Alligator mississippiensis: one gene and its partners. The protein of the gene in region 1 interacts with the protein of each later gene in a pairwise test. Links are inferred from orthologs where the notes say so. Each region holds a gene or a part of one and is shown on either strand. Other genes may lie near its edges.

Evidence for each region.
Region 2: the proteins of CCDC172 (region 1) and HDDC3 interact in binary tests that used the Homo sapiens proteins (3 or more experiments, as listed by UniProt). The two-hybrid records come from large-scale screens. The link is inferred for Alligator mississippiensis from reciprocal best matches to the Homo sapiens genes CCDC172 and HDDC3.
Region 3: the proteins of CCDC172 (region 1) and FAM13C interact in binary tests that used the Homo sapiens proteins (3 or more experiments, as listed by UniProt). The two-hybrid records come from large-scale screens. The link is inferred for Alligator mississippiensis from reciprocal best matches to the Homo sapiens genes CCDC172 and FAM13C.

The regions. Positions count from the first base shown.
Region 1 is NC_081829.1:89,992,325-90,000,072, reverse strand, and holds the start of CCDC172 (coiled-coil domain-containing protein 172), read left to right. Parts: upstream 1-4,699; 5' UTR 4,700-4,730; coding exon 4,731-4,781; intron 4,782-7,748.
Region 2 is NC_081834.1:842,443-848,013, forward strand, and holds HDDC3 (guanosine-3',5'-bis(diphosphate) 3'-pyrophosphohydrolase MESH1), read right to left. Parts: upstream 1,571-5,571; 5' UTR 1,526-1,570; exon of another isoform or gene 1,509-1,525; intron 1,383-1,508; 5' UTR 1,343-1,382; coding exon 1,231-1,342; intron 1,146-1,230; coding exon 1,090-1,145; intron 1,021-1,089; coding exon 649-1,020; 3' UTR 590-648; downstream 1-589. Other genes in the region: VPS33B (vacuolar protein sorting-associated protein 33B), read right to left, coding at 59-139, 299-394; NGRN (neugrin), read right to left, coding at 1,571-2,135, 2,230-2,340, 2,414-2,553; tubulin polyglutamylase TTLL13, read right to left, coding at 3,639-4,271, 4,970-5,170. UniProt on the Homo sapiens protein: ppGpp hydrolyzing enzyme involved in starvation response.
Region 3 is NC_081829.1:46,977,592-46,985,224, reverse strand, and holds the start of FAM13C (protein FAM13C), read left to right. Parts: upstream 1-4,555; 5' UTR 4,556-4,758; coding exon 4,759-4,930; intron 4,931-7,633.

The DNA of each region.
Region 1 (7,748 bases):
TCACCAGAGGCAAAGGCAAGTGAAGAAAGGTACCTGTGGGGGAAGTGCTAGGGTAGCAAATGTCAGCTATAAGCTGCCCAGTCTCCATCTCCATAGCACTTTCTTGAACTCCAGCCACTTTAATACACTTTCTATGTTCAAAATGCAATTAAAAATGCTTTGCTTTTTCAGATGCGAGTTAGAAGTAGCTATTACGTGAAAAGATAACTGGACATTTTTGGTAATGATAAAATAGATACGAAGTTCAAATGGCACAGAAAATAAGAGAAAATGGCTTGGAAATAAAAAAAAAAAAAAAACTGATGTGTTCACAAGACCAGAAAAAAATCTTTATAAACTATAATTCTGTATCTTCTATATTTCTACTAAATGCTATTCTATAGTGGAAAGTCACCTTATATAACCTACTTCTAACACTGCCCTTTCTTTCTTTTAGTGCCAAGAAAACAAACTTATGTTTTTGGATGTCAAAAAAAAAAATTGCTTTCGAAATTATCTGAGTGGATGTCATTTGAAAATAAGTTACATTGACAGGTTTTTTATGCTTATTTGCAATTAGAAACAGAAACTTGTTTTCCCCTTCCTACACAACCTACAGTTTATAAAGAAAACTTTACTATTATCACAGTAGCTTGATTACAAATGGCAATTACCAATTTTGAAGTACACTAGAAAGACATGACCTGATTACGGGCATAGTGATTAAGATGTAGATATAGATTGAGATTAGAATGCACTGATATGACCGAAAATAAAATTAAAGTCACCTTTGGAAAAGCCAGAGACTTACAAAAGGTCTTATACTTTGCAAAGAGTTGAGTTTAATTTGAAAAGACTGTAGCCAAATGTTATTTGTATTGCAAAACATCTAGGCCTAGATCCTCAAAGGTATTTAGGTGCCTTATTCCCATCAGTTTTGATAGGAACTGAGTGCCTAAATTCCTTAAAGGATCCTAACCTTCTAGACTAATAATCCTGCCAAACTCACTAAATTTGAGACTATTTATGTGAAGCATTTACAGAAATTCAGTCTAGGTCACAACTAGCAAATGAGATTTTGAAGAGCATTCTGCTTCCTCCAGTCCAGATTTACAAAAATCTTGTATGTGATATCTTCCAGAGGTGTACAAGAAAGCTCAGCGGGCATTGAGAAATGAACTATAGTTGGAGCCTATCTCCCTTGTCTATGAAGAGCAGTCCTTTTTCCATAAAGTGAGACTACAAGCACCCTGCACAAAGAGCAGCTCTTTCTCTAATAAATGACACCGAACAGCATTCCCAGCCTTCTCCCACCCTTCAGAAACCTAAAGCAGCTTTCTCATAGTTCGAAATATGAAAGCCCTTTTTGCACCTTTACCAGTAAAGTCTTGACAACTTCAAAGACCAGTTTTTTGTTTTATTTTGCTCCTTGATTCAAGGATATGTAGTGCTTTTTTTCTTGCATTTTATAAAAATGGCTCTTTCACTCACCAGGCTTGGAGAAGAAATAACTATTTCAATTGCTATAAATTCTTCATTTGACTCGTAATCTGATTTTCCTTTGTCCTTCGGGTAGAAAGCTTCACCGCTCCAACACATTGCAGAGTTCACCACTGCGACCTCTTCCTTCAGCAGCACTTTGGAGAAAGAAAGACAGACAGACAGACAGACAGAAAGATTGACTGATTCATTTTTTTAAGATTCTTCAAAGCCATATTTTGTTTCTTAAACAGTCGCCCAACCACAGCATAACATTTTGCTTAAGTTTTCAGGTCCAGCCAGTAATTTTGAACACAACCACAACTTCATAGTAATGGTCTCTTTCTACCTCCAAATGCTCCACTTGGAGACAGGAATGGAAAATATTCCCTCAGGAAAATATTATGACAACACCTGACAGCACCACCCATAGCTCTGCTAACAGGACAGTAATGGGACTCAACACAGCTGCCAAGGACTCCAATTTTCTCCAACATTAACAGCGCTGGAGTGGGGTAAATGTACCTCCTCCTATATATTTGCTGTCTCAGGTGAACAAGAGCAGTCCCTCTTACCAGTCTGAGCTTTGAAGTGTATTTAGTAAGCCATTTTAGAAAGCTTTTGAGTCAAAGCCCTGTCATTTTTACTTTATGCAAGTGTTTGAATTGATATTAATACGACTATTATAATGAGTAAGGATGATAGAAAGAGACACATGTATAGTAAAACTCACTTATAAAAGCACACCAAGGCCCAGTTCTGAGTTCTCTTTTTTGAACAGATTAGACCTGGAACATGACCACTTGAACGGCGTCCAGATTGGGGGCTGATAATACATCGAACTTCCATTTAGGCAGACTCACTGACTTCACAGGGTTGTAAGGTTATAAATGAGATGAGACTTTTGTCTATTTAAACATTTTCCAACTTTCTGTACCCATCTGACATGAAGAGGGAAAAACTCCATGCTTGAACGTTTATGTGAATGTTGAATGCTGAATATCCAACACCCCCCCACACACCCAAGAAAGACAGACAGACAGAAAAACAGAAAGACAGAAAGAGAAAGAAAAAGGGAAAGACAGAAAGACAGACAGACAGACAGAAAGTTTTTTTTTGTTGTTGTTTTTTGTTTGTTTTTTTTACTTTTACTTTTAAGAGGCATTTATTCCAGGGAGGGTGACAAATTGGGGCCAGTAGAGAGTATGTACAGGTTGGCCCGAACACCTGGGCCTCACGGACAGACAGAAAGAAAGAAGGAAGGACAGAAAGAGACAGACAGGCAGACTTCAAATGACACAAAATGACGAAAAAGAATTCTGCTCTGGAGAAACACAGGCAGGAATAATGAATAAATCCCCCCCAAAAATCGCCGAAAAACCTTTGTAAAAATAAATGTTTAAAAATACATTCCAACTAAAGCTCAGCCGGTCTCTTCTTTCTTGTGCAAAATACCTGTTCCCTCCTGGCCCTTTATTTCTTTCTCCTGTTCTCGCCTGTGCTTGCTGTCTCTGCCTGCTAGCTTTTATTTCTTATATTTCTCATCTGTATTCCTGAACTACCTCAGCACTTCTTTACTTTTTACTAAGCTTTTTCTCCGGGTTTTTCCCCCCTCCATTATTAGTTTTTTCCTGTCCCCCCTCACCTCCACTTCTCCTGTCCATCCTTCTCCACCGCTGCACCTGGCCCTGCCTGCCCTCCCCCATCGCCTGCGTTCCCAGTGCCTCATCCCGTTAGTCTCCATCCCAGCTTTATTCTCCAGCTTTGAATCAGTCTCCCCTATCCCGGCAAGCGGTCTCTCCTCACGACACAAAACTTGCTGAAGCGGCCATTTCTGTGGCATTGAGGCGAGCCCCAGGGGCAGGGCCAAAGGCGGCCAGGCAGGGTGGGCGAGTCAGGCTCGGCAAAGGCGTCCTTCCTCATCCCCTGCAAGAGCCCTTCTGAAGCAGCGAACAAGCCCCCTCCCGGAAGCAGAGATTAAGAAAAACCCAATTAAATCCTGGTCCTGCCACTGAAGAGACAAAAATGAGCCTAGACGCCTTGTTTCAACAAATCCTCCTCACGGAGCAGCAGGCCGAGGAGAAGCGGCGCCTCACACACCGAGGTCGGTCAGCATGGCTACGGTCAGGATTGTCCCTTCGACTGCGTGGATCTCCGCTTCCTTAGGGACCCTTGAAGGCTTCCCTAGAGGCCTTTAAACCATATTGTGACAGGGGGGATGTTTTTGATGTTGCCATTTGCTGGCTGCCAAGTGTGCAACTCTACAAAATCCTTAGAAACGGCCCATTTGAAGGCCAGAAAAGACCACCTAAGCATGACCTCCTGTACAACACAGCCCCATAGCATTGTGCTGTCACAATACCTCATTTTTAATGGAGGCGGTGAGCCTCAACCAGGGTGCGGTGGCACCCTGGGGTGCCACGAGATCCATTCAAGGGTACAAACCCCTACACGCGACTCGCAAGATAAACGCTGAGATTTCCACCGGGAATCTCTAGTGTCAAAAACATCCTAACCTCTCTTGGGATTTCTCTGAACGCTTTGCAACAAAAGAATTGCTCAATTATTTTTCACAGTCAAAAAACAAGTGAAAGCTAAGAACTGACATTTTTTGAGGGGTGCCTTGAGTCTCACAAGGGATACTTTGAGTCTAAAAAAAGGTTGAGAACCACTGAATGAAGGCATGTATTCTAGAAAGGTGTCCAGGCTTGATTTTTACCTATGCAACTTTAAGGGTTTGGGGGGACCTCCCCAAGGACCGTGTCACTGGGCTGCCCTCAGTTTGCTTCCTGACTAGGCCTTAAGTTTTGGCTGTACCTTGCAGTAATAGCAATTAGCCTGCAAATAGTGGCCTAAAAACCCCAACTTCATCAGCAAGTAAGGAGAGGTAGGAGCGGGGGCAAGCAGTAGCAGAGCTACCACTGAACTGCATACCCAAATTCATTTTTGTTACGGTATAATAGGTATTGGGCACTCCTTGTTCACAAACTTAAGATTTATGTCCATGATTCTGAAAAACTTCTTCCCTACATCTCTTTGCCACACCAGAATATGTATTTCCACCTCTAGTAACTGAGGATAATAGTGGGACACCATCTTCCATAGGAAAAATTCTGTAGTTAGCAAGCTAGCATTTATAGAGCTGCACGGAAGTTGTTCTTTGACACCACTCCATTTTGCACGCCAGAATCCCTCTTATATTATTCTGTGTATTTCAAGGTTTATTTTGCATTGCAGTTAAACTGGAAATAAAAAGAAACCATGAACAAGTTATGGCAATTAAAGAAGAGTTGAGGGAAGCAAAAATACAATTAGAAACTAAGGTACAGTAATAATGTTCATTATATTTAGTATATTAATTGCTGCTTTTGGGATAGCATCTTAATGAAATGATTCATGAACATTTTGAAGCAGCGAACTTCATACTAGTTTACAGACTAATTACTGCAATATTTGTTTAACGAATGTCTTTGTATGCTTAGCATCATTTTACCTGAGCTCTTTACAAGATCAAAGATGCATCATTCAATTCCCAAACCAAGAAGGATCACGTCAGGCTGCTTCCTAAACTTGCTTCAGCAGCACTTGTCTTTGGGGACAGGGGTTGCATGAGGGATCTGCAATTTGGAACATGCCCATAGAGTTCAGCTGGAAGCATGAAATGTATACGCATGGGAACATCAGTGGCCACTTCTCAGTCGCATCTTATTTTTCCACTCACAAATACCTTTATCCTGTGCACACAGAAATACACCTAAAGACTCCTAGCACTAACTTGAGTGAGCCTTTGATCATACCATAAGCTTTCCCATCTCATCCCCGTGTCAACAGTTCTACTTGGCTGCATGTTATATAACATGTACTTGCACTCACCTTTCAGGCTTGCTCTGTAAAGAGCATTGCTTATCAGTACATTTCCTTATTCTCAGGTTTTATTAATTTTTTGTATAGCAACTGTGGAGCCTTATTTTGAGACAAATCCTTTAATTTTGTACTCTCAGCTTTCCTAGTACAAATAATTGCAAGTGTAAATGATTTAGACCCACTTATTTCTCCCTGCACATAATGTCTAAATGGCAATAAGTGTGCTCTGGAATATATTCAGTCACAAAATGTGGGTGAATAAAGGACTGACCAAGTCTCCTTTTAAAGTCAGATTTGTCAGATCCCTAGGGTATTCCGACATTACAGAAACGCTTTAAAGATAAATCTTGCAACCTTCTGGATTACATTTAGTCCTTTAATTTTTTACTACCAGACTCCTAATTTTATCAATAGTTACTATGTTATTTGTTTAGTTGATTAAAGCAATGAAACAGGTGTTCTAAGGGCTCTAGGGGTAATTTGCATCCCTCCAAGCAAACTGGGCTCCTATGTGATCTGTTAACAAATATACGCACTATATAAAAGCATTGAAACATCATTGTGATGAATAGATAGAAAGATGTGTTAGAGTAAAAGAGAATCTACAAAACTGTTTGGATGTATTAACAAAGCAGAACCCCAATGCTGCTAACCAGTATGGTTTCATGCAACTTCATGCACATCAAGAGTCCCACTGAAGTCAGCAAAAATACGCTATATGAAGAATCAGGGCCCAGGGTAGATCAACAACAGGAACCAGTCTGGAGTCAACTCAAAGAGGGAATGGGTGATATTTGTTAGGTAAATTCCTATATGGCCCTGCTCATAAAATTAATTTATGAAAACTACCATTTTATTTGTATACCACTGACTTAGTATTAACTCATTGTGATTTATAGCAGGTTTGTGTGGTAGGTATAGGAGGTCCCAAGAGGAGAATCATTATGGTACATGACTAATGGGAAAAGCTAGAGAAGCATTCTTAATCAAATCTTTTATCTTTTATCCACCAGAATTAATTATATTCTTACCAGTATCCACAAAAAAATATTACAATTCCAGTTTAGTTTGACATTGATTCATTTATCAAAAGGAAATGATACGAAGAATAAGGAAAATATGAAAATTCATTATTTCAATCAGATCACACTTAGATTTAAAGATTATATATTGACTACCAAGATTATTTATATTGTAATTTATTTTTCAAATATAAAATGAAATTTATTCTACAAAGCTCAAAATGTACTGACTGTAATGAATATAATCCAAGTACTACTACTTAATACTGTAAAAATAAATGACTCCTCCAAATTTCTGCATATCTCCTTTTTAATCTCACACACACTGGGTTAAAGCCTGAGTATATGAGCGTTAGAGTTCAAAAGTGTTTTGACATCTATTTCACAGAGACTGCTTGTGGTCAGTCGAACGCTCCCAGGAAATATTAATTTTTTTCTGTTGAGTAAAAAACCAACCAGCATGTAATTAGAACTTGAATTATAGCTTTTTCCCTTTCATGGCTCAATGTTTTTCTTTAAAAATTCTATTGCTAAGGCATAGATTACTTAGGTATTTTGGGGACAGGTGTACTATAGTTCAGCTGGTTATGCTCCATAGAATAAATGCAGAAGCACACGTTCACTAACTGCTTTAAATTATGTAACAAATACATGATCCTTGAGCAGTGAGCTACCTGGCTAATGCTCACCATGTCAAACGTACTTCCCAACCCCTCTCACTTTGCCCTAGCTTAATTTCTTTTGAATCTCCTCCCATCATGTCCCATTTGGCATGTCATCTTGCCTGTGCTCCTTTTCAACTTGCCTCTTTTGTTTCCACATCTTGTTAATTCTTCTTTTATAATATCACTAATTTCTAGCCTTGCCTTTCTCACCATACCACTTAAAATTCTCTCTGTTTCCCCCCTTGACTACTGCCATCCCATCTTCTCTTGAGTTTCCTAACACCTATTGTACTCCTTTCATGTTTGGTCAAAACACTGCTGCCAAGATCACTTTCCTTATTTATATATATTTTTTATCATTACACTCTCTCTTCCAATCCCTCCACTCCACTAGCTCCACTTCACCACCACCATATCAAACACAAGCTTATTGATGGCCCTTAAAAAATTCACCTGTACCTAACTTACATGCTGATGTTTATTATTACATCATCTATCCTAAACTAGCCTACCAATCTGGCTGTGCTGGATAGCCTGGAATAATTCTTCAAGTAGACATGGAAATGGGTTGAACAGCCTCCCTCCTTTGAGATCGACTATTGTTTACAAATTAAATCTATAAATAAAAATGTACGCAGAAGGAAGCTTTGGATGTGGTTTTATGGCAGACTGTCTTGTGCCCATACACTGATCCTCCATTCCTCTTCCCCAGCTGATAGTTATCACTGTCATACTGAGA
Region 2 (5,571 bases), on another chromosome or scaffold:
GTGCTAGGCCGCAGCCCCAGCCCGGGAGCCAGGCTGCGGGGAGGCGGGCGGGCGCTACCTTGAGCAGGGAGACGTTGGCGATGCGGTCCAGGGGGCTCATCAGGTCCGCGTCGATGAAGAGGTCCTTCCTGCCCGGCAGCTGCGGGGGGGGGAGGGGACGGGCACGGGGGTGCGGGTGACACCGGCTTTCCCAGACCGTCTTCTCGTGCCCGCGCAGCGAGGGGCCGCGCACCCGCATGTCACCGCCCCGCCACGTTTCTGGCCCTGGAAGTAGAGCCGCCCCCGCCCGGGCGCCCACCTGCTCCAGCAGGTAGACGAGCTGGTCCCGCGCCAGGCGCTTGAGCACGGCGAAGTCGGGCGGCTCGGGCGCGTCGCGGCGGCCGGGGGAGGCCATGGCGGCACCGGCGGAACCGACGCGCCGGGCCTAGGCTCCCGGCGGACCGGAAGTGCCCGCTGCCACGGCAACCGGCGGCGTGCGGAAGCGGCCGCGAGCGCTACTTCCTGTTCCGGCGCCAAGGAGGGCCCGGCGAGGCGCGTGCCCCCCGCTCGCGGCGTTCCGCCCGCAGCCCCACGCACACGCACACGCACGCGGCATTCACGGCCTTTATTGTCGCGGGCGGGCGGGCGGGCGGAGGGACCCCGCCGGCCTCACTCTTGCAGCCCGCGCGCCTCGAAGAGCCGCCGCAGCTCGTCCTCCAGCGCCGCGTGGGTGCCCCGCAGGCCGCGCACCACCTGCGCCGCCCACGCGAAGTACTCGTGCACGCGCTGCTCCGACCAGCCGGCCGGCGTGGCGCGCTGCAGGTCGCGCAGGTTGTACAGCTTGTCGGCCAGCTGCAGCAGCGCGGCGGGCGCGGAGCAGCGCGGGGCCCGCTCCACCTGCAGCCGCTTGCGCTCGGCCCGCGGCAGCGCCTTGTCGTCCGACACCTCCTGCACCAGGCGCCGCACCTCGGCCCCGAAGCGCCGCTCCAGCTCCGCCGCCGTCGTGTCCGTGTCCTCCAGCGTGTCGTGCAGCAGCGCCGCCTGCGCGGGGCGGGGGGGGGGGGATCAGCCCGCGGGCGGGGGCAGCCCACGCGGGGCGGGGGGGGTTACCTGCAGCAGCACGATGTCGGTGACGCCCGCCTCGTGGGACAGGATCCGCGCCACGCCTGGGACACGCGGGGACAAAGGGTCACGCGCCGCCCGGCCCCGCGTGGGGCGGGGAGGAGTGAGGGGGGGCGGGGGGGGGCGCACCGAGGGGGTGGTTGATGTAGGGGGTGCCCTCGGGGTCCTTGCGCCGCTGCCCCGCGTGTTTCCGCGCCGCGAAGTCCGCCGCCTCCAGCAGCCGCCCCGCGTCCGTGTCCATGGCGCCGCCGCGCCGCGCCCCGCCCCCCCCGCGCGGGGCACTGTGGGTAATGGCAGCGAGATGTGACAACCGGGCCCAGGCCCAGGCCCCGGCCCCGCGCGGCGCCACCCGCCCCTGCCCCGCGCCACCCCGCGCCGCGCCGGAGGGAGCGCACGGACCGCCGCTCTCGCTCTGCACACGCACACTTTAATCAACACGGACCGACCGCTTCTCCCCGCGACTCGGCCCTTATTTCCTGCAAGGGGAGCAGTCCGCGCCGCCCGGCCCCGGCTCCGGCTCCGGCTCGGGGGTGTCCGCGGGCCCGTCGCCCGGGATGCGGTAGAGGAAGGTCCCGCGGCTGTCGAAGAAGTCGCGGCCCCGCTGCACCACCTGGGCGCCGCGCTCCCGGCCCGCGCCCCACGCCTCCTCGGCGTCCCACGCCTCCGCGGCCGGCTCCGGCTCCGGCTCGGGCCGTGGGCAGCCGGCGGCGGGCGGCGTGGCAGGGCGGCCCCTTGGGGGGCGCGCGTGCGGCGGGCTGTGCCGCGGGGCGGGCGCGGCGGGGCCGAGGGGCGCGGGCAGGGCGGAGCGCGGGGCGGGCGGCGGCGGCAGGGCGCGGGCCGGGGCGGGGGCCCCGCGCTCCGGGCTGGCGGCGGGGCACAGGCGGCTCAGCGCCCGGGCGTCCTGCTTGTCCCGGCACCGCGGCGAGGGCGAGAACTTGCTGCGCAGCACGCGCCGCACCGCGTCCTCCGACACGCCGAAGCCCTCGGCCAGCCGCGACACCGGCCACTCGTCCCGCAGCTCCCGCCACAGGAACCTGCCGGGGGGGGACGGGGCGTAGCCCAGTCAGCGGCGGCCCGAGCCCCGCCCCGCCCCGCCCGGCCCGGCCCGGCCCGGCCCGCCGCGCTCACCGCATCTGCGTTATGGCCTGCCAGGTGAGCAGGCGCTCGGGGACCACCCTCGGCTCCATCTCCCGCCGCAGCCGCTGCATCCGGATGGCCACGCGCTGCCGCTGCAGCGCCCTGCGGGACACGGCGCCGTGAGCCGGGACCTCCGCCCCGCCCGGCCCCTCCCCGGCCCGGCCCGGCCCGGCACCTCTCCGCCTCCCGCAGCGACTCGAGCTCGTCCTCGTCCTCGTCCTCGCCCCCGCCGGGCCCCGCGGCCGCCCCCCGCCCCAGCAGGCGAGTCCCGGGGCCGGCAGCGCGGAGCGCTCGGCGGAGCAGCAGCACGGCCATGCCCGCCGCCCGCTCACGTGGGCTGAGCGGAGCCGGGGCGGGGCTACCGGCGGGGCCCGCACGTGCCGGTCGCCGCGGGGGCGGGGGGAGCGGAGCAGGCCCCGCCCAGCAGAGCCGGGAGGCGGGAAACGGTACAAAACTTTAATACAAAGCCGGGGGCGGAAGGAGCCGCCGCCGCCGCCCGAGACGGCCCTGCCGGGCCCAGCAAGGGCAGCCAGGGGACGAGGGCGGGGCCAGCCGCGGCGGGTGCCAGCCCCTCGTGCGGGCGATGGAGGCCGCTCCAGCTCCACGACAGCAGCCCTGGCCCCGCACAGGCGCTGCCCGGCGGCTGCGGCCCCAGGCCCGTCAGGCTGCAGGCTCAGGTCCACTTCCTGCGGAGGGAGGAGGGGCCCGGGTCAACAGGGCACAAGCAGGGGAGAGGACCCCCCCATCAGTGCCTGGGGAGACCGCGGCCCGTGGCTCCCGGCTGCCAGCGCAGGAGCAGGGTGTGCCAGTGACACGGACGAGGGGCACGCGCCAGCCACGGGCGGGCACCACCCCCAGGCAGAGTCAGGTGTGGGCAGCAGGCCTGGGTTTGAGGGTGGGTCTCCTTCCCCCTCGCCCATGTGGCCTCGGCCGGGCCAGCCCCAGTACGGTGGCCAAGCTGTCCCCTGGCTCGGGCAGACCTCTGCTCCGGGAGCCTGGCTCTGCGGGGCCCCAGCCCCGAGCTGCGTTACCGGCGGGGCAGGCTGAGGACGGCCGTGGCGTTGGAGCGGCGCGAGGCGTCTGTGCGCTGCACCAGGGGGGCAGAGGCAGAGGTGAGGGCGAGGTCCCGCGTGGCCTCGTGGTAGAGGGGCACTGTCACCGAGGGGAACGTGTAGTCGCTGCACGTCTGGCGCGGGGCTCGCCTGGCGTGAGGCAGGCAGCTCAGGGAGCCGGGATAGCCAGCACCAGCGAGCAGGGGCCGCCTGACCACGGGGCCCTCTGCAACGAGAGCATGGGGGTTAGGGCTGATGTGGCAGCCAGCAGGGCAGCGGGCAGTCCTCGCCCTCACACTGGTGCCTGCCCCGGCCCTGGGGGCAGCATCCCATCAGCTGCAAGGAAAACTACCCAGCCCCCAGCTCCCTTCTGCTGCCAGGCGCCCCTATGGCAGCGAGGCGGACGGCGGGAGGCAGGGCAGCAAGCCAGAGGGTCCTGCCAGCTGTGCGAGGGAGGGTGGTGCCCTGCAAACAGCGAGGCAGAAGACGGTCGCCTGCTACCCGGCTGGGGGAGAGACCTGCAGGGTCCTGTGCAATGACTGAGCCAGCAACGTCCCCCCAGGAGCTGGGGGAGCGCCCCGAGGGCGTCAGCGCAACCTCTGCCTCCAAGCTGTACTCACGGCCTCGTGCCCGGTCTCTGGCGCTGAAGAACCTCTGCCCGCCCGCCTTCGCCATGCTGGCGGGTGCGTGGGGCTCAGGCCCTGCTGCCGTCCTCGTCACGTGGCCCCCCAGCCAGCCCACACTCCTCTGTGGCGGGGGGTAGTGCTGCAGCCTGACCAGCGTGCGGTAGGGCAGGGCCTGGCCTGCGCCTGGCAGAGGGCCCGGGAGGCTGGGAGTGTAGCCTTGACTGGCCAGCAGCTGGACCCTGGCTGCAGGCAGCTGCCCCAGGTACCGGCCTGCCCTGCCCAGCAGCGAGAGGGGGATGAGGGTCATTAAGCTCTGGGGCTCGTGGTTCCGAAGTGTGTCTGAAAGGAAGGGCGGCTGCAAGAAAACAGACACGGCCGCTGACATCCCGGGCCTGTCGCAGGGCAGAGGCGCTCACTTGCTGACTGCCCCTGGCCCTGGCTTCTGATGGAGCAGGGGCAGAAGGGTCTGGATTGGCACTCCCACCCCCATGCCCAGGTCAGTGGTTCAGCAGCCAAGGGGCTCCCAGCTAGGTTTGCACCCTCTTTATTGCTGGCCTGGGTTTCTCCAGCTCCAGCCACTGAGCTGTCACCACCTAGGACCACGCATCCTGGTCCAGGGAGGTCGGTAAGGCTGCTCGAGTCGCATCTCAACCTTCTCCTTGTTAAAACAGCTGCCCTGATCTCTGCTCTCTCAGGGCAGGGCACGTATCCAGGACCCGCATCATTCCTGTGGCTCTTTTCTGAACCGTTTTAGCCTGAGCTGTGTCACCATCCCCCAGGTCTGGACAGATGCCCGCAGAGATGGAGTATACCCCAGAGACATTGTCTAGGGCGCCCTCATTCCCAGGGGCTGGGATACCCCTTGGGAACTCTGTAAAGAGGGAAAAGGGCTGTAAACATGGTAGAGCCCTTGGAAACTCACGCTACCAGGTCCACTGCCTCCAGCCTGGCTGTGTGGGGAAGTCAGGGCCTGGGGTGCCTGGCTGGTGTCTCTGCCTGCCCATCACCTCCTGTGCCAGCCCTAGAGGCCAGATCTGAGCAGCCCACCCCTACCTGGCTCTCAGCAACACCAACGTGGGGCCCGAGGATGTCCAGGGGCCCGGGCTCGCTGCTGAGGAGCAGCTGGGAGAGCTGGTCCACAATGCCCAGGCCCCGGATGAGGTGCTCACGGCGTAGAAGAGCCCTGACCCTCTCTGTCTCCTCGTGGGCTATGATGTCCTGGGGCTGCATGGAGTCAAGCTGCACCTGTGGAGCCTGGGACAGAAACATGCTGGGAGCTACCACGAGGGCTGGGTCACAGATGTCAGCAGGGAGCAAGGGGACCCCAGGAGTAGTCAGGCTCCCACAAGGTGTGGCCAGCACTGGCTGGAAGGACAGGCCGAGCCCCGTGGTTCTGTTCCCAGGAGGTAGGCATGCCCTGGATGCGTGCACTGGTATACAGGTGGCCAGCCTGTGGCACACATGCCACAAGCGGCCTAGGCAGCCTGTGTGTGTGATGCGTGGCAGACTGAGGAGGGGGCAGACAGCACAGTCACAGACAGGGCAGGGCGCAGAGGGCAGAGCAGCAGACCAGATGGAGCAGAAAGCAGAACATCAGATCAGGCAGTGCACGCAAGGCAGGGAGCAGGACGCAGAGCAGAGACTGGGCAGGATGC
Region 3 (7,633 bases), about 43 Mb from region 1:
GCCGACGACTTCAGTCAGTGACACTGCACCCAACGTTGAGTATTTTCATCCAAATCTATTAAAAATTTCCAACAGGATCTGGTCACATAACTCCACCTTGGATACCTCCTGTGGCTTCAACCACTCTTCTAAGAGATCGGCCAATTGCTGCAACAGAATCCGCAGGGATTTCTCTTCTTTTTTCTTTTGGGGCAGAATTTTCTCTTCAAACCCCATCATATGCTTTCTTTTTATATCTGTTACTATAAGTATGTACCTTTTATTTTGTGTGTGCCTGAATCCTTGTGGCCAACACTCAGATGCCCTCTCCAAGCTTCTGGGAGTGGGTCAATTCATTCTCTTCCTTTTTTTGTTTTGTTTTGTTTACTTTTTAGTGCAACTGCCAGCTGCATCTCATGGTATGCCTCTTTGGGGATCCACCCCTCCTCCTTCTCTGAGCTCCGCTCTCTCCGTCATCAAGAGAAATCCTGAGGTAAGCCTCTTATCTTCTATCTTCTGGGAAAACCCTTTTTCTCTTTTGGCCACTCTCTCTTTTTTTTTCTTCTGAGACTCCCATCTCTTCTTTCTTTTTTTTCTTCCGGAGCTTCTATCCTTCTATGGTAATAGCTCCAGAAGCGGCGTTCCCTGGCTTTTTTCGCTGCGTTGTTGTTTACTCTTTCATAGTCTGTCCAAGTGATGGAGGAAACATGCCACAATATGTGTGAATCCAAAGATCACCAGAAAGACATATGTCTTAATACATATGTCCTTCTTTGAATCATACAGTTAGGCCCCTTCTACATGTGCAGGTTAAGGTGAGATAGGATCTAATGTGTGATTCATGTAGTTGTGCCTCCTGCCGTGCCATATGTGCATGCCAAGAGGTGAGATTATGGGATTGCATATTGGATCCCGTTGCACCTTACAACCAGTGCAGGGGGAGCACACTGGCAAGAAGCAAGCTCCCATAGCTGGAAGCCCTGTGCATCCCAGCTGAGGGGTTCCCAGCTATGGGGGTGCCCCATGAACCCAGGGCAGGGGGATCATAATCTCTTCTCTGGGATTGCAGGAAACCCTAGGGATGGAGGGTTGCCACTGAGATGATCTCCCTGCTCTGGGGGTGTAGGAAACCCCCAGGGACAGAGGATCACCATAGGGGTGATTCCCTCATCCTGGGAATGTGGATCATCTGACCCTAGGGATTTCCCACATGCCCAAGCCATGATCCCCATGGACCAGAGGTTTTGCACTGGGCATGGTGCTCCCCTGAGGTTGGGAGCCCTGTCAGCTGATAGCATTCCTTTCTTGTGCCTGTCTCTTGGCTACTTTCCTATGATCAATGGATTACCATTTCAATCTACTTTCCAAATTCCTTAACTGTCTGTCAATCTCCAAGTCACTCAAGAAGTTATGCCTCAGTTAAGGAGAACTAATTAACACTTTAAAACTTCCTAGTACTTTCAAGATATTTACCACGTCCTTATTACATTCCCAAAATGGGTCTGATTATAGAACAATCTTGAGACAGCCATCAGTTCTAGAGAGCTGTACTGTGGTATGCTTTATATATTAAAGGCATATTAAAGTGATTCTGTAACTGTGATGGTCCAGAAATTATGCAAGAGGCAAGGATTTGTTAGGATGATTTATTTTATTGCACCAACTATATCGCTGGGATGAAGTTAGACATGCTTTCAATTGCAAGAATCAACAAAGAATGTCTTGTCTAACTTTAACCCAATACATAATTGGTTCAATAAAAGATATTTCCTTAACAAATCCTTGCCTTTTATGTATTAACCACCATTCCAGTACCACTGTACATCTACATGTGAAATTAATGTGAAGCTTATTGATCCAGAGTTTATTGCTCCTGGGCATGCCATTTGAACATATACCCAGGACCAGAGTAGGTTGGGCCAGGTCAAAGTAGCCCTGGATGACAGGGGGTCCTGGGGGTCAGCCTGCTAGCCTGGGGTTCTTCCAACCTGGCTCAACATGCTGTGGAGGTGCTGACTGGATCATCAGTGTACTTCATTGTTGGGCTACCCATGCAGTGCTGCAGAGTAAAAAAAACTCCACAGCAGGATAGTACTTGTACTTACCATGTACTACCTAGCAGTGGAGTTACTTACTTTACTTCAGCCTAATAAAAGCATATGTGTGTTGCCCTGTGGGGTCAGGCTAACTCTCAGGATCTCAATATTATGCTGTTAGACAGAAGGGTGTGGTATACAATTGCACATGGACACATTAAAAAATCAATTAGGTGCATACACACACTGTAGGTGCATGCACCCCCACTAGGCTTGCACACACACACTACCAATTCAGGCACATACACATCCAAAATTGCCAGCCAGGCAAATACACACCTATCACCAATTCAAGCACCTACACACACTATACACACCAAAAGAAATTAGACCAGAATCAATTACCAATACCTGCATACCCAATACACATACATGGATCACTAATTCATATAACATGCACACAATGACATACATGTATATCAGTTCGCATACATACCACTCACCTACACATACAGACAGGTGAGTTCCTAACTTGGGTGTTGTGGTGTGTATGCATGTGCTTGGGTTACCTGGGGGAAGGTTAAGGTAAGCGAGAGAGAGTGAAAGTGTAGAGGGTGTAAGTCGCCGGGATCGGGATGAGAACCAGTAGACTAGAAAGAGAGCTGAGCTGAGGCTTGGGCTTACTTTAGGTTACTGCTGGTGGAAACTGAGATGAAAGTTGCCAGTGCCAGGATTAGAACCGGCAGACTGGAGGGAAGTTGGGGTAACTTAAGGTTAATTGGTGTTAATTGAAAGCAGAAAGACAGCAGAGCAAAGGAGCAATGCCAGAGAGAAGGCTGGAGCTGGAGCAAGGAAGCTACAGGGGAGCCGAGAGGTACGTGGGGAGAGGAAAACTGGGATTGGGGCTGTGGGGGTGGGGGAAGGCTGGAGAACACATTGAGAGAGAGAGAGTGCAAGAGAAGGCAGAGAGAGATAGGGATTGGGGAGAGCTGGCAGGAGGCAAAAAGTGGCGGGAGCGGGGCTGAGAGCCTGAAGAAAAGGGACAGAGAGGAGGCAAAAGGTGGTGGGAGTGGCGGGGCTGAGAGCCTGCAGAAAAGGGACAGAGAGGAGGCAAAAAGTGGTGGGAGTGTGGTAAGAGCCTGCAGAAAGCAACAGGGCTGAGCACCTGCAGAAAAGGGACAGAGAGGAGGCAAAAGGTGGTGGGAGTGGGGCTGAGAGCCTACACAAAGCACCAGGGCTGAGAGGCTGCAGAAAGGTAACAGAGAGGAGGCAAACAGTGGTGGGAACAGGGCTGAGAGCCGGCAGAAAGCAACAGGGCTGAGAGTCTAGAGAGAGGGAGAGAGAAACTGGAATTTAAGATAGGGAAGGGACCAGGGCTCAGTAAAACCCAACCCAACTCAGGGTTACAAATGATAGTAGTTTTATTGAACAGGGGAGATGGTAACACTCTTTTTTATTGGTTCCTTTACACACACACACACACACACACACACACACACACACACTGGAAGCAGGGGTTAAAGAGGCAAGAGGAGGAAAGAGAGAGAGTCCAAATTGGAGGAAGAAATATGCAGGTGATATCTACCTGTCCAAGGCTGAAAGTGGGTCCTTGATGGCCAGTTGGGGTCTCCTTCAGCTCGGTGTTGTCCATAGGGGGTCGCCGGCAGTGCCTTAAGTGGATAGGCAGTGTGACATGGAGCTGGTCTGGTCCAGATGGAAATGGTGTTCCCAAGGAGTCAGTCTTCACTACCCCTTTTTATGGGGTAGACTACCTCTGATTTCATATGGGGAGGGCCTGTCCAGGCAATGTCAGTCCTGTTCCAGAGGGTTCCAGGTGTTCTTACTGAGCATGCGCAGCCTGGCACAATGGTGGGTTGCCTCATCTTTTGTTTCTTGAATGCTGAGGGTGGTTCCAAGGGCTGGGTCATTGGCCCAGGTATTGGTGTTGATGGTTTGGTCATTCAGAGCTATTTTTAGTTCCCCGCGTGGGGAACAGCTGATTAAACAGCTGGCGTAATGCTGGCTCACGTGGCTGCAATCCAGGCTCCTGCTCTTATGGCCGGCAGGAGGTAAGTTCACCCCGTGGGGGTCTGTTTCTGGGGTTTGGGGCCTGCGGAGATTGCCCTCTCCCCTTCGAAAGCCTGTGGGGGCATTACAGATAAGGTGCTGTTACAGATAAACAGCCTTGTCCTTATTGATTTCTCTGCAGTCAGTGACAAAAATCTGTTAATTTAGCTTTTGCCACTGATAGAAATGATTTGGGAACTTCATAGAACCCGTGCTATGTAAAAGAAATATCTGTAAAAGAGCAAATAAAAAAGAATCTGAAATAAATTGTGTGACTCTCAGTAATTCTTTGTTCTATGCAGTGCACTGCACATATGCTGTAGAAACAGGTTTTTTTATGAATGGTAAACTGGGAGGGGCATAATGTCATCAGATTCTGATGTCAGCAGAATGAATGAAATACTTGCTTATCATATTGCTCCAAGAACAAGAAAACAGACACACCACCCCAGTTTGACAGAAAAAATTCCTAGAACAAATTGTCTTTTGCTGACTAAATCATTGTTCCCTCGTGTCTGAAATGACTGGATGACATGAAGATACACATAGAATAATATATATTTAATCTCCTACACATCCCTTCAAGAACTGTTAGTGGAGCATCCCTCCTGTGACACTGCTAATGGGCTCAGTGAACTGAAGACCTGGCACTGTATTTTTGCTGTTGTCTATCCCAATGTTCTGCTTTTGTCTGCAGAATTCTTTGTTGAAGCTACAAACCCTAGAAACTGACTTGTGCTCTGCATTTTTGCCAGCCCAGGAAGAAATTCCTCAGCTACCGGCTTCCAAGGATCCAGTCCCTTCATCTGTTCAATCTAGTGTGCAAGATGATGGGGCCAGTTATGGAGGTAAGACACTAAATATCATGATGTGTTTTCATTTGCAATTATAAGATAGCCTGCTGTCTTGTAGTTTAATCTAATATTTGTCATCTTTTGAGAAGTGCAGATGAAATATGAAGGCTGAGGCACAATATGTTGCTGCCAGTGCTATGAAATATAACAAGTCATCCCTTTGTTTATAAATAGTGATAACCTATTTTTCATACCTATAAATCTTGCTTTTAAGACAAGCTTTAAGAATCCTGCATTTTCAGTTTTGATCTGCTTTTATCACAGTAGGGTTTTTGTATGTTCAGACAGTATGGTCTTTATTTACTGTGTTACAGCTGCATTCTGTGTGATGTTCTGCCATTTCGTGTAATTCTATTTTTGTAATGTTTTTTGTCAGAGCAATATCACTTCATTTCTCCTATTATTGATTCTAATTTAATGTATCAGCAGAGAGATAGTGCAGGTGAGTTTTTATAGCATGCTGATTGCAATCTCCCTTGTCCATCTTATATATTAAGATGTGTCCCATTTGTTTGTTTATTTATCCATCTGTCCATCCTCAACATGGAAACCAGTTCTTGCAAATAAACAACCGTAAGGTTTAGCATCATTTTCTGTCATTCTTGGCTTGTACTCACAGGACTGACAGAAGTAGGAGCCTAGACAGAAGAGGAACTAATGCTTAGGAAAAATAGTTCAAAGTAATCAAGAATATCACACTACATTTTAAATTTGTATGATATGCAAGTTTAAAATGTGCACTATGTAGGGGCCACATCAAGGTAAAGAGGTCAGTATTATAAGGCCTAATCCTTTTTTCTGCAAGGCATATTTTATGATAAAAAGCTCAGTTCAGGAAACCATATTTCAGAAGCTTCTTATTTATTTTGTACAAGGCAATTAATTTTATTTACAAATATTTTTATAAAATACACTTTTCTTCTTTAGACTCTTTCAAATGGATGTAATGAGCTGCAAAATTAAGGAATACACACTTATAACCCTAATTATTGTAAATCTAATCCATACCAAGAATATAGCCTGCAAAAAGAGTGACATATTTTGGCTTTTGAGTTGTTTAGGGGTTTTTTTCTTGTGTTTTGTTTTTTCTGAATGCTGAAACAGAAGTTGGAGAATATTTAATATAACAGCTATGGTATTTGCTAATGAACCTAGTTTCTGACGTGTACTTGAGGTAAAAAAAAATGGAGGCTACAGGGGCAAGATCTCAGAGCTTGTACAAAACCTGCATTCTATGTATTGGCAGGGTGTGCTTTCTGTCCTTTTCCTATTTTACATGATTTTTATACCCTGATGGTTTCATAACTCAGAATAATTTATACTCAGTTTAAGACCTTCTGTAACTTTTATCTTTGATGTGAATTGGACTTCCTTAAACTGTTAAAACCCTCCCAGTTCAGACAACACCTCTAACACTCATCTGCTCATTTACATTTATGCAAGAGTATCTTAGATGATGACACCCAGCTCAAATATATGTGATTTGCCACGCTGTTATTTCTAACCTGGGTTTTAGTGAAAGCTCAGCTCCTTATGGATTTTAATACACACCATGCTATGATAATTCTTGCTTTTTGGCTTTTCTAATTAGTAGCACTGGCTCCTATTCTGTCTTTGAAAAAAATGGTCTAATTTAGAATTACAGTTAGGTGAAACACAGTAGTCCCAGGTTCTGTTAGCAGTTATACTGATATAAATCTGGACATGGTCAAATTTACACCAGGGTAACTGAGATTGAAATCTGGCCCATAGAGTATATTCTGCCCTACTATGCCTGTATTATCCCATTGTAGCAAAACCCCCAGTTTTTCTTTTTTTAAATTTTGAAATACATTTCCTCAACTTACCGTAATGATTTCTGACTTTCTCTCTGCCCTCTCCATACCTTATAAGTGAATACAAGTAATACTAGGTAAGCTAAGTTCCTGTATGCTATTATTGTAATAAGCCGCTTTTTATATTGTAAATAGTGTTCTGTTCCTATCATTTTTGCATTGATTATTATTGTTTCGTATTAATATTGTATGGTTTAGGCCTGTATCTGTAAAGTAATGTCAAGTCTCCATCTTGTGTCCCCTGCCCAGGCATACCCTATTGTAACTCTGTTGTAACTGTATGACTCATACCTACCCCTCCTATGTAAATTGGTTCCTGAATGAATGGGGATGAATGAGGGTGCTTGAGAGACAATGGCAGTAAGACTAAAAATAGCTCCCCCGAATGACTGAGCCATCAACTTGATGACCCAACCATTACCCTGCATTGACTCTCCCTGGCTCAAGATTTGGAAGAGAGAGACTGCTGCAGAAATCAGCCAACCCACCACTATGCCAAGGCTGCACATGCTCAGTATGAGCATCTGGAACCCTCTGAAATAGGGCTGACTTTGCCTGGTGTCACAGGCCAGCTGGTCACTGTGAGTGTATCAATTTTATCACAGGCCAACTGGGCTGTTTGATTCAGTTTTGGATTGAGGAGGCAAAAGTTGGGTGTGGAATGAAGGCAAATTTTTTATAGCTTACACACACACAACAGTTAACAGAAAGATAAATGCAATAAGCAGATAAGGCAGTATAAAAGAGCTAATAGTAAATAATAACAACAGATAATAACAGATAAATAGATCAATCTGTCACAGGCCAACTGGGCACTGCGAGGGTATTAGCCACACTGGGCTGTTCAAAACAACAAATAGAC